2 linked regions of the Rhinolophus ferrumequinum genome follow. The protein of the gene in region 2 purifies or fractionates together with the protein of the main gene of each other region. This does not show direct contact. Links are inferred from orthologs where the notes say so. Each region holds a gene or a part of one and is shown on either strand. Other genes may lie near its edges.

Region 1 (8,085 bases), on a different chromosome or scaffold from region 2:
CAGTCTTTCATGTAGGCTACCCATTCATCTTTTTAAAGTCTTTCTGGGTTTAAATACCTTAGGTTGTCTGATTTAATCCTCACGAAAATCCCAGGAGGTTCTATCATCCCCATGTGACACAGGACGAATTTAAGACTAAGAGAAGTCACACAAACTGTCCAAGGACACAGGTTAGACACACAGTATTGTTTATGAGCAGGAACTCATCAACTCCTTAGGTAGTGACTTGGCATATTGGGTGAATTATTCATTTCAGGGCCTCAATGTCTTCAACTCTAAAATGAGAATAACATCACTGTATACTTCTTCGGGTTGTGGTATAAACAAAATGCATGGGAGGCACTTACGAAAGTGCCCAGCTTACAGCATATGCTCAGTACCAGCAGTGAGCTCTATTACTATGGTTGCCAAGGGATGCCATTTAAATTTTAATGGTTCTAAAGCTCTAGAGTTTTAAGGCAAATAAAAAATTGTTCAATCTTAGACTAGAAAGGAAGCAGTTAAAAGACATCTGATTCCGGTCACAGATAAACTGTTTTACTTTTACTACCCTTTTGTGCCTTCTGATTTTACCACGTGCTAGTCAAAAAACAAAAGCACTTAAAGGGGAAAAAGTATATAAAATTCCAAGTGGTCTTTATTGTAAATGCTCATCCATTTAAAAAGAGATTCATACTACCTTTAGTTTTGAATTTTGTTTTTCAGACATGAGAATTGATTTTTCCATAGTACATTCTTTTTCGTTATAAAATACATAGCTTTAAGATGTGAACACTCAAAATATACTGAAGATCGTCTAAATTCTTTAGAAAACAAAATTCTCCAAATACTTTTCATAGCTCAGTATTAAGCTTAATTTAAAAGTACATTATGTTGCAGTAAACAAAGCATTTAACCAGCACTTTCCTGACAAAGTTCAACAGCAAGCTACACATAGTTTACAACTCTGTTCAGGCACTTTTAGTATTTCCTAGGAATTGTTCTGAGCTGCCAGTTCTGTTTGCACAGTTCATTACACTATTCAAAGTAATTTCATGTTCGTCATCCTAGCTGTCCCTCCCAATAGCCCCCTAATGGTAAGGTAGACAGAAGACTTCTCATTTCCATTTTAAAGATGTTTAACCGAAGTATTTCATAAGCTAGTTACCCATGCTGGGCCTGGAATACAAGTCTCTTGAGCATGCACTGATGCTTACCAACTGTCACTTCATCCCTTTAAGCTATTTGCGGGGCATAGTGAACTCTGTAACAAAAAGGATGCAATAGCCTGATTGCCAAAACTGCAGCAACAACTTGTCAAAACGTTTACCGCTCGTGGTCCTTGAAGATAATGTGCTAGTTGAAACTGTTGAGTTAAGATAAGATAGTCAGGTGTAGAGGGATGCTGACACCCATTTTCAAACAGGTCAGAAAATGTTTGCTGCAGGATACATTCACTCCAGTGCAGTTCACCCTAGCCTTTCTATGATCGTTACCCGGCTTGTTTGCTTGTGCACCGGGGTTGGAGCACAGAACTCCCACGGTTCTTTACCTCTGCTCTAAGTATAATTATAACGTATGTACAACATGGCAGTGATTCTATTCATGACCCTCAGACACTGCTGGAAAAAGACTAAGCTACAGAACGGTTTTAAATATCAACAGAATTCTTCCCTTTAAAAAAAAACTTTTACTTATTAAAAATATCAAGCAAAATGTTCCATTTCCTAAATGAGACTTAACTGTGGCTCACCTTTGTCCTCCTAAGCTTTTAATATTCAGCTCAGTTTAACTTCCCTCAACCAGCATTCAGTGTCATGCTTAGCAGTTGATCCACTAGGTCCAGTTTTTTCCTCTCATTGCCATAAATATGACTGCAGGCCCTGGGAAACAGGACTTAACCAACTTTAAGAGTAGGATGTCTGTCAGTGTGGAGGACCAACAGCATCAGACTATAATTTATTGCAGTAATTTGCTGTGTAGTTAGTATGTATCAGACATCTTTGTCCTATTTTATACACATCTTAATTTAATTCTAATAACTCCAACAGGTATTAGTATACCCATCACTTGGGGAGAAACGTGGTACAAAAGGTAAGTAAATTGCCCAAGTTCACACAGCAACAAACGGCTGATGAAGGCCATGCAACAGGGCCTTAACCTTAATACCAAAACTGCCTAGCCCTCAACTATAATCCCAATGTGATCATAAAATTAACTGCATGACCTTGGGCCAGTCATTTCATGGCTTCGGGCCTGCCTGTTCCTCCACTATCAAACGACCTGCCCACAGTGAGCTTTTGGGTGCTTCCCTGCTTTTAATGTCCGGTGAATTTGCGATTGGATTACACCCCACCCCCTAACAGGTAAAAATGTTAAGACAAGTTTTTCAACCACTGCGTGTTCTAGCACATTCTCTTCAGGGTGCTAGGAGCCAGTCTTCGCCCTGCGGTTTTATTTTCAAATATTGAACCTGTAACACTAGTCCTAAATATTGTCTGTCGGTCCGATATCACCTTTCCCAGTACTAAGGGTAGTGACTAAGCCCGATCCCACTCCAGATCTATAGCCGGTTACTCCAGCCCACCTCGAGGCTTCTCAGGCAGCCAGCAAAAGGCCTGAGAAAGCCCTGGAAGCAAAGCCATAGAAAGAAGCTGGTTTTCGCTGAGGTCGAGGTAGGCTTCAGGGCACCTGCCACGCCTCCCAACCCCAGCGGCGCGGCCTGCGCCTGGCTCCCCAACCAAGGCGGCCCAGGTTCAGGCTCGCCCCACACGGCCGGAGCCGAGCGTCGGGCCGGGCCTGAGCCCTCGAAACCCAGCCCGACCCCTCCGCCCCGGCCACGCCCGACCCCTCGGCCGCGGGGCCGCGCACCAAGGCCCCCGGGGTCTTCACAGGCCCTAAGACACCCGTAGGCCTCCAGTCTCACCTCGAGCCTCCCCGAGACCGCCGGCGGCGCCCGCACTTCCTCCTGCCCGCACACCTGGCCCCACGCTGCAGGAGAGACAGCAGCAGAGGCGGCACGACCGTCACGTGCCGCAGAACCAAGAGGCCTAGGCTGCCGCTGCACCTCGCGAGCGAGCACCGCCGCACGAAACCCGGCCCCACGTCCTCCCCTCGCTCCTGAGTAGCTACGGCTAGTGCCAAGTTCCGCCCCCACCGCGCCAGCTCCGGAATGCGGTTGGTCAGTGTGGCCATCGCTCTAATCACCTTCCCATACGCCCCCTAGGGCTATTCTTCGTGGAGTGTGGGGGTTGGCTGGGAGTGAGACAGGAAGTGGCTGTTGGTTGGGCGGGAGGGGAAGGGGCGGGCCACGGCCGATTGGGAACCGTGGGCGCGCGCCCTGGGGCGGGGCCCGCCCGGCAGGCGTTCCCGCGCCCCGTTGCCCTGGTGTCTTAATGGGCAGACTGCCGGGCGTTTCAACCGAAGGTAGTTTCGACCCTTCGGTTCCTGGATCCGGGCCCCAGGACCGGCATGCCGTTCCCCTCGCTGTGGGGGCAAATGGCAAGCGGCTGAAGGAGTGGGCGGTCTGGCGGACCATCGGGAAGGGCCATTTCCCCTTGCAGCGAGTGCGAGGCCCGGACAGGGTGCAGGCGGAACCCGCACCGGCTCCTTCCGCACGGCCTGCAGTTGCCTGCACAGCGCTGTGTAACCACGCGTCACCGTTCCTGCAGAGTCATCGCTCTGGGCCTAGCAGAGTGCGGCCTCCACTTTACCCATGGAAAACTAGAGTCCAGAATGCTGTAATGCAAGGTTTTTTTCAACTTTCAATTTGTGATGTTTCCTGAAGTACAATTAGTACAACAGACACCCGACAGGATTGAGAGAAAAGGATGGTGCAATGGTAAAAGATTTCAAACACACAATTTTTGAAGCCCACTTTTAGCGCATCTTCACTGGTCAATATGCCGCCTCAGGAAATGGAAGTAGCCTAAGGTTTTCTTAGACCTTTATGGGTCCTGGTCTCTGCCTTCCATTTGTTTGGATACCCAGAGGCTGATTCCTAGAATGGAAAAAACTAGAATCAATAGGTGTATTACCTATCTTAGAACAAGCTTTATTCCCTCATGCCACCTAGTAGGGGAAAAGAGGTGTTAGAGTGTGGTGTTTGCATGTTTACTTGAGTTTAATATTCTTAAACTCCCAGCCCCCAAATTTGCGTAAGGGAGTTTTGCTTTCTTGTTTACTCGGGGAAGTGGATATTCAAGGCAGCATAGTATTCTGGATGCCACATGTTCCAAACAAGGAGCTTAAAATGTAGTTACAGAAACTGTATGTGAGCAAAACAGCTACTCCAGCAAAGGTATATGCTAAAAGATGGTGGTACTAAACAGAATTTGGTGGGGTTTTGAGTTGCGAGGAACTGCTTTTCACCTGGAATGGACAGGGAAATAGGTAAGACTTGAGCTGGGCTTGGCAGGATACGCAGGATTTCTATAGGTGGAGAGTTGGAGGAAGGCTTCTTTAGATGAGGGAACAGCATATGGAAAGGCAGGAAAATGGGTATCGTGTGTTTGGGAACACCATGTATGGAAGTGTTTGAACTGGAGAAAGGTGCTCAGGAAAGTCAGCTCCAGAGCTGGTTAGGAGCAGACCTTGAAGGCCTAGCCAAGGATTTGTAGGGAGAGTTTTTAGATTTGGATCACAATTTAGATTGTTTTTGAATTATTATTTTAATATTATTTCAGGGAGGTCTGAAAGAGAGACAGACTAGCAGCTGTGAAGCTGGGTAGGAAGCCACTTTTTGCAGTTGATTAAAGTGCAGGATTAGGAAATGGTAGGTTTATGGAAACAAAAGCATTAACTGTCGATGCTAAAGAACGGTCCATTGCATTCAGGGGCTAGGGAAAGAGCAACCAAAGCCAACACTAAGAGTGTGAGCCTAGGGCGGCCGCATAGCTCAGTTGGTTAGAGCCCAGTGCTCTTAACAACAAGGTTGCCGGTTTGATCCCCATATGGGCCACTGTGAGCTGTGTCCTCCACAACTAGATTGAAACAGCTACTGGAGCTGATGGGTCCTGGAAAAACACAAATAAATAAAAGTTTAAAAAAAAAAAAAAGAGTGTGAGCCTAAGTGATGGGAGGTGAAGTGTGGAGCCCCCAAAAAGAGGGAATTCATGCTTGGCTGGTCCTGGGGATCCTGGGTCTGGGCTCAAGACACAGCAGGCTCAAGACAGTGCAGGACTGGAAGACCTGCAAAGGATCCTGCCAGGGATTTTTCAGCTAAAGCATAATGTTTCAAAGGCGGAAGCCAAGGACAAACTTCCAAGGACAGAAATAAGATTTCCTTTCCTTCCTTCCTTCCTCTCCTCCCCGCTCCTCCCTTCCCCTCTCCTTTCTCCTCTCCTCTCCTCTCCTCTCCTCTCCTCTCCTCTCCTCTCCTCTCCTCTCCTCTCCTCTCCTCTCCTCTCCTCTCCTCTCCTCTCCTCTCCTCTCCTCTCCTCTCCTCTCCTCTCCTCTCCTCTCCTCTCCTCTCCTCTCCTCTCCTCTCCTCTCAATTTGAAAGCAGTCACTGTTTATTAACTGACCAAATTACAAAAATAATCATGGTAATCATCTCAGTTCATCCTTCTAATAAACCTGTCGATCCGGTTTCTCCTGGAAAAGATAATTTGCAGGCCGCAGGAAGTTGAAGGTTTTTCAACGGTATGGATCTCATGAATCAAATCCTCCATGCAGATGATGCCATATTTACCATGAGACGGAACAGTCTAAGTGTTATCTCAGGGCAATTCACTTCCTGTTGATTTTGCCATAACCACACTTATAGATCCATTCATTTCTGACCTCAGATTTGGGTACCCCCATGCAATATATTGTTCCACGCCCCCAGCATGTTAACTGAAGTTTTGTTGAGCTTAACAAAGGTGCCATTGAAGATCCAGTGAAGGGAAAGAAACTGCAACACCTTTCAGATCCTCATCTATGTTAACATTGAATGCTTTTAATTCCTGAGTAACATTCTGTTGTACAAGTATGCCATTTGTTGCTTTTGAATCATTTGTGCTTTTAATTCCTGAGTAATATTCTATCCTATGAATGTGCCACAGTTCGCTTATCCATTCATCAGGTAATAGACACCCGGCTGCACCCAATTTTTGGTTATATGATATAAACCTGCCATACACATGGTGTACCACTCTTTGTATAAACATATGTTTTAATTTTCCTTTAATAACCTTTTTCGAGGTCTACTACCTCAGTTGGTAGTTACGTCCTCCGGCTGCTTCCTGAGAAAGACTGTGTACTAGTTTTTTTGAAATCTTGCACATCTAAAATTGTCTGTATTCTGCCCTCTGACAAGGAGAAAATTCTGAAATGTCCTAAATTAAATTACAGCACACTAAAGGGTGGAAGGAAGAGACAAGAGCGATTAATCAAATAACAACTGCAGGGCAAAACCAACAAAACTGCTTACATTCCTGAGTATATGTTGAAACTGAATTAACTTCCAGGTGACTATTTGTACAATTATCTAAAGAGAATGTCCAGTCACCAGTACTTCTTGCTTACACCTTCTGGACTGTTGCCCACCATCAGTCTAAAGGAGCAAACATGTCTTCCTTACAGATTCTGCACCTAACCCAGAACTCTTCCCGCGTCACCATCTCCCACTCTTTTTATCTAAAGCCAATGTAAATTCTTTCAAAACAACATACATGTTTCTTCCCCAAACTGTTTCCATAAAAGCCCATCTACCCCAGGATTGTAGACATCTTGCCTTCTCCGTCTGGCCCTGCTGTTGGTGATTCAGAGTGCATGCGCAGGACCTGGTCCTTTTCTGACTAGTGTTTTGGCTCAATAAACCCCTTCCTTCAGAAAAGATTTTGGCCATGAAATGTTTTTTGTTTAACACCTTACATCATTTTTTTAAACCTTATTGAAATATAATTTACATACCATAAAGTTTGCCTACTGTAAGTAAGATTCAATACTTTTTAGTAAATTTATAGAATTGTGCAACCATTATCACAATCCAATTTTAGAATATTTCCATCACCCAAAAGTTCCTGTGTACCCATTTGCAGTCAACTCTTAGCCAACCTCAGGCAACCATTGAACTGCTTTCTCCGTCTATTGATTTCCCTTTTCTTTATTTCATATAAATGGAATCATACAATATGTGGTCTATTTGATTTCTTTTACTTAGCATAATGTTTTTGCAGTTGATTCATGTTGTAGCATGTATCAGGAATTCATTTCTTTTTATTGCTGAACAATATTCCATTGCATGTGTGGGGGAGGCACAAACTATCCTCTACCCTCAAGGTTCTATCAGCTGGTCTAATAATCAAATAGACATGAGACAAATTAGCAAGAGAAAATAAAATTTAAAGCACACATATGTATAGGAGCCCCATATACAGGAGAGGTTCAGAGATAGAAAGGGAGATTGAGATACATAAGATACCCTGAGCAAGGGATGATGTAAGGTGCCTTCCGGACCTCAAAGGGTCATTGCAGGATGATAAGAGCAGGCACTCAATAAATAGAAGTCTGCCCTGCCCTATAGATAGGTCAAAAGAAGTTATTTCTGATAATCGCTTATGGACAAGGCCTCTAATTCAAATTCTTCTAGGTAGTTAAAAGAGAGGGGCAGAAGTTTCTGAGACTGAAGCTAAAATTGCCTTTAGCTCAAAGTACTCTGTATACCACTGAGGCACTTCTTGGGGTGGCTCATTCTGGACCCCCACACATGGGTATACCACATTTTGTTTATCCATTGAACAGCTGATGGACATTTAGATTGTTTCCAGGTTTCAGCTATAATAAGTAATGATACTATGAACATTTGTACACGAGTCCTTTTTTTTTTTTTTTTAATTGGGGAAGGGGACAGGACTTTATTGGGGAACAGTGTGTACTTCCAGGATTTTTTCCAAGTCAAGTTGTCCTTTCAATCTTAGTTGTGTAGGGCTCAGCTCAGCTCCAGGTCCAGTTGCGGTTGTTAGTTGCAGGGGGCGCAGCCCAGCATCCCTTGCGGGAGTCGAACCAGCAACCTTGTGGTAGAGAGGATGCGCTCCAACCAACTGAGCCATCTGGGAGCTCAGCGGCAGCTCAGCTCAAGGTGCTGTGTTCAGTCTTAGTTGCAGGGGGCATAGCCCACCA
Region 2 (7,804 bases):
ACCGTATTGAACCCCAGTATTTCAACTACCAGAGCTGACAGTTTCAGAATTACGTAGCCAGCTTAAATATAAATATTATACTAGCCCAAATATGTAATTTGTTTTGCCCCACGACAATATGTTGAAACTTATTAATCAAACAGATCTACTCCTTTCTCTTAATTGGTTAAAGCAGCAGTCATTTACTGGCGAGGAGGTTGTGGGGTTAAATTAATTCAGAACAGACATGTAAGAGGTATCGAGTGATTAATTCAGGATGTTGAATGTTTGATACATCACTCTATATTTTATTCAATGAATATCACTGAAAAGATTCATAAGGATTGATTAATAGTTACACATCCCTTGGCTAAAATGGCAGATTCTCATGGCAGTATCTGTGTATATAATTACTCCAGAAAAAGTTCACCTCTTCCCAATTTTTTTCTCACCTAAAAAAATGTCCACTGCTTCCTTTATTCAGTTCTCAAAATAGCCCTCTATGGTATGGTTGTCAAAGACTGAGGTAGATCCCTGGTTGCATACATACAAACATAAAAACGAGACCTTGAAGCTGTGTAGGTTTTGTGAAGCCTGAAAAACGTATTGCACTGGGTGAATTTCGCTTCCAATCATGTTTTTATAAGAATAAAATATTGTAATTTAAGAACAAAAGGCATCTCATGCTGTTAGGATTAGGAACATCTGTGTCCTATTCATGACCATTTTTAGGAAAACTACCAAGAAGTCCATTGCCCAAGAAAAAAAGGCAATAAAAAATATTGAACAGAAAAAAAATGTTAATAACCTAGAAATATCCTCACCAACCCCCATCACCTTTCTTCTCCAGTAGTTCTTTGCATTTCACCAGTTTCTTAGCAACCATACAGGACTCAAGCGGGCAAGTATATACAGAAGAAGAAAAAACACAATTTTTTTTCTTCCTCTTTTAAGATCTAGAACCAACTGTACTGAACCTTGTTCTCTTAACCTAGGAGTCACTCAAGACAGGGGTCCAATTTAGATAAATATACCACCCTAAAGGTCAGTGACCAAATTTGGTCAACAGTGGTGCCATCACTGCCGTCATCATTCTTGTCACTGTCAGAAACTGTCACCTTGCCATTACTAGGACAGGAGAGCAACTGGAATATTCCTTTTGTAAGTTCTATTTACAGACTACAAAGAGCCCAACATCATCTTAGTATGATCTTACACAATTGAAGAACCCGAAACAGAAAAGGCCTTCCAATAAAGAACTTTTTGTTATTAAAAACTGATAAACCACAAGAATTTGTAAGACCCTGCCACATTCAGGAATAATTTCTAACTGCACTGTAAATATCAGGCAGCCATTTATTTTCTGTTCACGAATGGCTTCAAGTGTTTTGTTTGTAATTTTAAAATATCTAGGTTTGGAAAAAAAAAATGGAGACACAGCTTAAACCTCCAAATATAATGTTCTCACCCGATAGACATTATTTATTTGGAGAGAAAATGAATTGCTTCATACTTACAAAAGATATACATGCTGCCAGCAATAAAATTCTAACTAGTAAGTCTTCAAACTGCTCAATCACAAGTTCCAGCAAGGTTTTTCCTATTAGAAACAAACATATTTGTTGTAAATGTCATATTAACTTCAGCACACAAAGGGAGGGGGTGGAGGTGGAGAATGGGACATTTTAAGATTACTTACCTTCTTCAGCCGGTAACTCTGTAGAATGTAGAAATTCGCCAAGCAACCGTGTCAAGAGGGGGGAAAAAACATTTTAGCATTCTGTATTTCTAAAAAAGAATTGCTAAAACTTATCAATCTTTGAAAGACGTACCTAGATATATATACATTCTATCATTTTTAATGGAAACCATACTAAAATGGTACCCCCCAAAAATATGCAATACTTGTAACCAATGGCCTTAGGTCTACCCCAAAGCGTAAAATCTCATTGCCATCTAAACAGGGATCCCGAAACAAGGAGTCATTTCAGCTATGTCATCACTTCTGCCAGATGTGTAACTTTGGGTAGTGCAAGAACGGTCAGAGGCATTCTCAACTACAACGACGCCTCATAAACAGGCTGGGACGAGAAAATGTCTCGCAGGACTCAACCCAGCTTCAGGAGACTAGTTCCTCCCTCCACCAGGGCCGGCTGCTGCTGGTGACAGTCACGGAGCTGGCCGCGTGCGGGGAAGGTCAAGGTCTCGAGCCGCGAGGACATCGAGAGCAGGCGCAGACCCGATCCGGAGCCCCCCGCATGCTGCCCCTTTCCCGCCTGGCCGACGCGCGGGCTCGACCCGCCGCCTGCAGCCCTCGGCGGGCTCGGAGCCGAGACCCACGAGGTGGGGCCCGGTCAGCCATCTTCCCTGGCTCTCGGCCCCGCGCCGGGCCGCGCGGGGCCCCTGCAGCCCCGGCGCCGGGCACCTACCGTTGGAGCCCCATCTCTCCTTGAGCTTCTTGACCTGATCCAGGCTCAGCCCCGTGCTCTCGTTGACACCGAAGTGGCCCAGCACCTCCTCTACGGTCTTTGTGTGCGCGTTCTCCATGGCTGCGGGGGCCTCGCCTCCCGTCCCCGCGGCCTCCAAGCCTCCGCCTCGCACTCGGACAGCGGGCTCGTGCCACCTCCGGCGCCCAGGCGCGGACTGGCTTCTCCCCCTCCTCCTCCGGCTGCTTCCGCCTCGCGGGGCGCTGAATCACCCCGCGCCCCCTCCCGCAGACAACCGCTCCTCTCGCTGCCTAGCCCTCGCCGGCGCCCACCCCGGGCTCAGCTGGGCGGTGGGAGCTCGCGACTCTCCTCGTCAGAAGGGAGGGTCTCCTTCGCCCTCAACCGCCCGCCCAGAGTGCAGGCCGCGGCCCCTTAGCCCCCTCCCCGCTCTCCTGAGGTGATTCGCGGCCCCGCCCGGACCAGAGGAGGGGGCGCCCGGCCGACCCCTGAGGGCGGAACGAAGGGCTGCAAGCCGGTGGGGTGGTGCACAGCGCGCTCGCCCAGTTCCCTCAGCTCTACTCCCCCGACAGCGGCGGAGGAAACTGCGGCGAAAGAGAAGGAGGTGGCGTCGGGGACGGCTCCGCGGCGACTGCTCTAATAGCATTTATCCGTCGCTGCCTCCCCTCTCGCCGCCGCCGCGGCATGTGGACGCCGCTCATTGGCCGAGAGGGCCCAGCGCGGCGCGGGCGGCGCGGCCCCGCCCCCTCCCCGGCTCCCTCCCTCCCGCGCGGCTCGCGCCCACGCTGCCACGCAGGCCCCGCCCCTCCCGCGCACCGCCCCCCGGAACCCGGATCGAGGCTGCTGTGAGCGGTGCCTGCACAGTGTGCCCTGTGGTCCGCGGGCTGACGGGGCGCGAGCTCCGGCCCGCTCCTCCGCTGGTGCGGCCTTAGATCCCCAGCCGCCCAAAGAACTAGAATCCAGAAGGGTGGGAGCCTCAAGGTGGGCTCCCTGCACTCGCTGCCCGGAGGGAACTGCCTGCCCTTCAGGGTCGGCCTCAGGCCGGGGTGCATGGCTGGGAAGGCGAGGCCAAGGAACCTGGGAATTTGGTCCGCACAGGGCTCCCGAAGCGCGCTCTGGTTGGTGTCCTTGGCTCGCCCCCTCGCTCTCAATCTCCAGGGCCGCACTCTGCATCCTAATCTGTCTGCTTCGGAGCCCCGCCTCAGTAACCAAGGGGAGGAATTCCGCAGTTCACTTCCCACAAGGCCAAAATCCCTCATCTGTAGCCTCAGGAACACCACATCCCACACCCACAGCTGAGGGCTCCACGGCACGCAGACATCAGCCTTTCCCCAGCGGGTTCTGGGCCCTGACTGAGTTAATCCCACTCTGGGGAAAAGAAGGAAGGTTTTGTTTTGTTTTGTTTTGGAGGTTTTCTTTTTAATAGCCCACACGGCCTTCGATACATGCCTGCGTAGAAGACACAGGTTATGCTACTGTACCTGCTGTGTAGCAGTGAGATTTGTACTAGAAGGTGCTTCTCTTGGGTATTAAGATCAAGGCTATTTTCTAGACTCCCCTTTCCCCAATAGGCGAAAAAGGGTCTTTAATCCAAGACCTATTCTTAATCCACAGATGATTTGCCCCTGAGATCTGTACAAAACCTAGGTAACAGCAAGATAAAGGGAATTTCCCAATGTAAAGAAGTTAGACTATTTAACAGGGCTTGAACTCATGAACAAAAAGTGAACATATTCGCATCACAAAGAACAGCTTTCTTAAGGAAGTGTGTCGCAGAATGAAGCAGTTAGTCCACTTTTGTGTTTGGCAATACTGTACCATCCACATGAGCCAAAGCAGAACAAAAATCACCTCAGTTGTCCCAGATGGCTCAGCCTCAGGACTTGAGATAAATTCCTTCAAGAGATGCAAATTACAGTGCATTACCCAGATGAAAAAATCAGGCACGTCATTTCATTATTTCCAAGGAGTGGAGGCTGGCATGCAGTTTTGATTGATACTTGGAAAAGGGCCAACAAAACCCTACACGAAACAAACAAACAAACAGAAGTCTAGTGTATGGCAATGCATTAAGAGAAGCACGGTGGAAACTGGTTAGGTCACAGGATTGGAGCCTCCTCCAGGAGGGACCGGGACTGTATGGTGGGGGTGTGGTAATGGAGGGCTGATGGTTCCTTTCCCTCTGAGACCAGGTCTGCACCATTTCTTACCAGTTCTTCTGCCTCATCTCATCTCTTTCAGCAACAATGGAAGAACTATAGGCAGAGGGGATCATTAACCTTTCTCATCCCAGAAATTACCTTGGGTATTTGAGTTTGGGTCTCTGTTCCAGGGCTGGGTCTCTGCTTAGTGTTATAAGCACCTCTGGTGTGATTATGAGCTTCCTGAGGGGTTCCCTACCTCGGCTTTTGTACTGAATGTGCTTCCCCAGATCTTTGAGTGCCTCGTTTCATCTTTTTCAGATCTCAGCTTGCATGTCACCTCAGAGATGTCTTGGCTGACAACGTGGCTACCCGCCCCAGTCACCCTCCCTGTCATGTTTTTGTTTTCATTGCTTCACAGCACTTATCTCTGATATTGTATTTTTGTTTAGCTGTTTACTGCCTGTCTCTCCCTACTGGGATATAAGCTTCATGAGAACAGGGGCTTGTCTAGCTTGTCCATCCTCAGGACACAGTACAGTTCCCGTTATACACTCATCATTTATTGAACTCCTGTGTGAATGAAACAGTCCCACCATCCCTGACCTATCAGTGACTTGCAAAAGGCCTTGCCTTGGGAATGCCTCAGCAAATTTTTGCTGAACTTAAGTTCATTGGTTTCCAATTTGTGAAATCAACAGGAACTACTTGCCTCATGGGAATGGTTGTAAAGGTTGGATTTCAAACAAAAACAGAGTTAGGCAGCATTATAGGTTTCTCGGAGATAAGTAATGTAGGTTCACATTGCTCCTGTAACCACATTGTCATCACTCTTCTAGACTGTTCTTTGCCAGTCTTTTCTATACATTGGAAGTCGATATACTCCCTTTAACTGAAACTGTGATTTTTAGCTTGGCTTTGGCCCCTTCTACATCACGTGCCAATTATGCACTTGGTTCCTCAACCTGTTGGAGTCTCTGACACGTGTTGTTTCTAGGTTGCCAAAATTAAGCATAAACTCAGACTCCCACAGGCAGAAAGATCTAGTCATTCCTATGTAGAAATAAACCTATGCCCAGTTTATTTTATGAACTACCTATGCTTCTCGTGCAGGTTAAACAGTAAGAATGGGTTTTAGAAATACTTTCACCAAGGATTGCAGTTACAGTCTATTAATTGAGTACAGGGAGAGGAAAGAGAAGAGAAACTGTGATTCAGAAAGATGGATGATTTGATCAAAGAACCTGAAAGGAATTGATAAAGGAGGACGTTAGCTGGTAATAAGCAGGCGAGTTTAAAAAGCCTGGCAGACAGAAAAGGCCCAGTAGAAAGAGTGACTTTGTGAAAAAGGCCAGAGCCAACTTTCCAATCCTCTATAGCCCTCCTGTAAAGCGATGGAGATTGCAAAAGGCAGTCTGTTCCATATTTGGACAGCTCTGATCATGAAAGCAGTCTCATTCTGGGCTGCATCCACCTCCCACTAGCTTCTCCTATACATTGGTTCTTGTTCAGCCCTCTGGAACAATTCTGAATAAGTTTAATTCCTCCTCTGTGTGAGATCCTTTTAAGTATTTCAAGATATCTATTGCGCTTTATAAAAGTCTCCTCTCTCAGCTAAAAAGAACAGTGGTCCCTGAGCTGTTCCTCCTGTAGCAGGAGTCTGCAACCCCTCAGTATCCTCCTTGTCCAGTCCTGGAGACACCCAATATGGAACACAAAACTCTAGGCAGTCTCGCAGTGGAGTTATCACTGTCCACCTTTGTGCTGGATGCTTGCTCCTCACACCATTTATTTGTGTTAACAATCAACTCAACACTGAGTTCTGTATATATAAACTGCAGTCATGTGAAATCTTCCCATTGTGTCCTTGAACTGTTGAATTTTTTTTAACCCAGGCACTGAACTCTGACTATTGTGTTCATTTTGGCCCATCTTTGCCGTTTGTCGTGGTCTTTTGGAGTCTTCATCTTCAAGTGATGTTTTAGCTATATGTTCTGGTTTGGGTGACACACAAATTTGATAAGCATGACTTATGACTTCTATGTCTTTACCCAATAGAACTTCTAGACATTCATTCCAGATTAGAAAATAACCAATCACCTGGATTTAGTTGTTCAACTGCTGTACGAGTTGTGATCAGATAATACGGTGAATGTTTAAATAAAAAAATTATTACAGTAAAAGGCACATTGCCATCAATCCTCCTCAAAATACTCCCCCTCACTTTGAACATGGGATAAGTCATCATTCTTGCCACTTTCTGAAGCAGTTCTGGAAGTCCTCTTTTGTGAGTGCCTTGAGTTGAGCTGCCATCGTTGCCTCGATGTCCTGAATTGATTCAAAACGTTTACCTTTCACGGTCATTTTGACTTCGGGGAAGAGCCAGGAGTCGCATGGTGCCAGATCTGGTGAATAAGGTAGATGAGGACACATTGCAATGTTTTTATTTGATAGAAATTGCTGTACCAGAAGCGGTGTGTGACATGGAGACTTTTCTTTGTGATCACAAAATATGGTGAATGCTGTTGCCAAATACCATCCCACGGAAAGGCAGGGACCTTCAATACAGGAAGCGGTGCATTGAACCTTGGTAACTGTGTGTGACGAGTTTCAACTTGTTCAGTCTGTCAGATGTGAGCTATGGTTGTCAGAAGGTGTGTTTTAAAGTGTGCTGTAAATCATCCTCCATCATGACAACTCTCCGTCACACATCACTTCTGGTACGGCAATTTCTGTCAAATAAAAACATTATGGTGTGTCCTCATCCACCTCATTCACCGGTCTGGCACCATGTGACTTGTGGCTCTTCCCCAAAGTCAAAATGATTCAGGACATCGAGGCAGCCATAAAAGAGCAACTAAAAAGACTCTCACAAAAGAGGACTTCTAGAACCGCTTCAGAAAGTGGCAAGAATGATGGGCTAAGTGTGTTCGAAGCGAGGGGGAGCATTTTGAGGGGAATTAATGGCAATGTGTCTTTTACTGTAATAATTTTTTTCATTTAAATATTCACCGTATTTTTTGATCATATCTCATAAATCAACTTCACCATAGGTTCCAAAGTCAGGAAAGTGAAAATCTTATAAGGCACTCTGCCGCCTCCTTATCTCCCATAATACTTTATTATACAGCATTAGAACCGACCATTGCTTTGGTTGAGCACCTGATGCAGCCAGCTTAAGGATTATGTTACAAGAAAAATACATATTTATGTGCTAGATTCAGAACTGGCACAGTAAGG

Evidence for each region. Proteins that work in one complex are often made in the same cells at the same time.
Region 1: the proteins of ATP2A2 (region 2) and CANX purify together in Homo sapiens (co-immunoprecipitation; 3 studies listed by BioGRID and IntAct, with this or other methods). This does not show direct contact. The link is inferred for Rhinolophus ferrumequinum from reciprocal best matches to the Homo sapiens genes ATP2A2 and CANX.

The regions. Positions count from the first base shown.
Region 1 is NC_046307.1:2,866,837-2,874,921, reverse strand, and holds the start of CANX (calnexin), read right to left. Parts: upstream 3,090-8,085; 5' UTR 2,906-3,089; intron 188-2,905; exon of another isoform or gene 58-187; intron 1-57. Other genes in the region: CBY3 (protein chibby homolog 3), read left to right, coding at 3,375-3,674. UniProt on the Homo sapiens protein: Calcium-binding protein that interacts with newly synthesized monoglucosylated glycoproteins in the endoplasmic reticulum. It may act in assisting protein assembly and/or in the retention within the ER of unassembled protein subunits.
Region 2 is NC_046308.1:6,031,960-6,039,763, reverse strand, and holds the start of ATP2A2 (sarcoplasmic/endoplasmic reticulum calcium ATPase 2), read right to left. Parts: upstream 3,065-7,804; 5' UTR 2,527-3,064; coding exon 2,409-2,526; intron 1,697-2,408; coding exon 1,679-1,696; intron 1,580-1,678; coding exon 1,497-1,579; intron 1-1,496.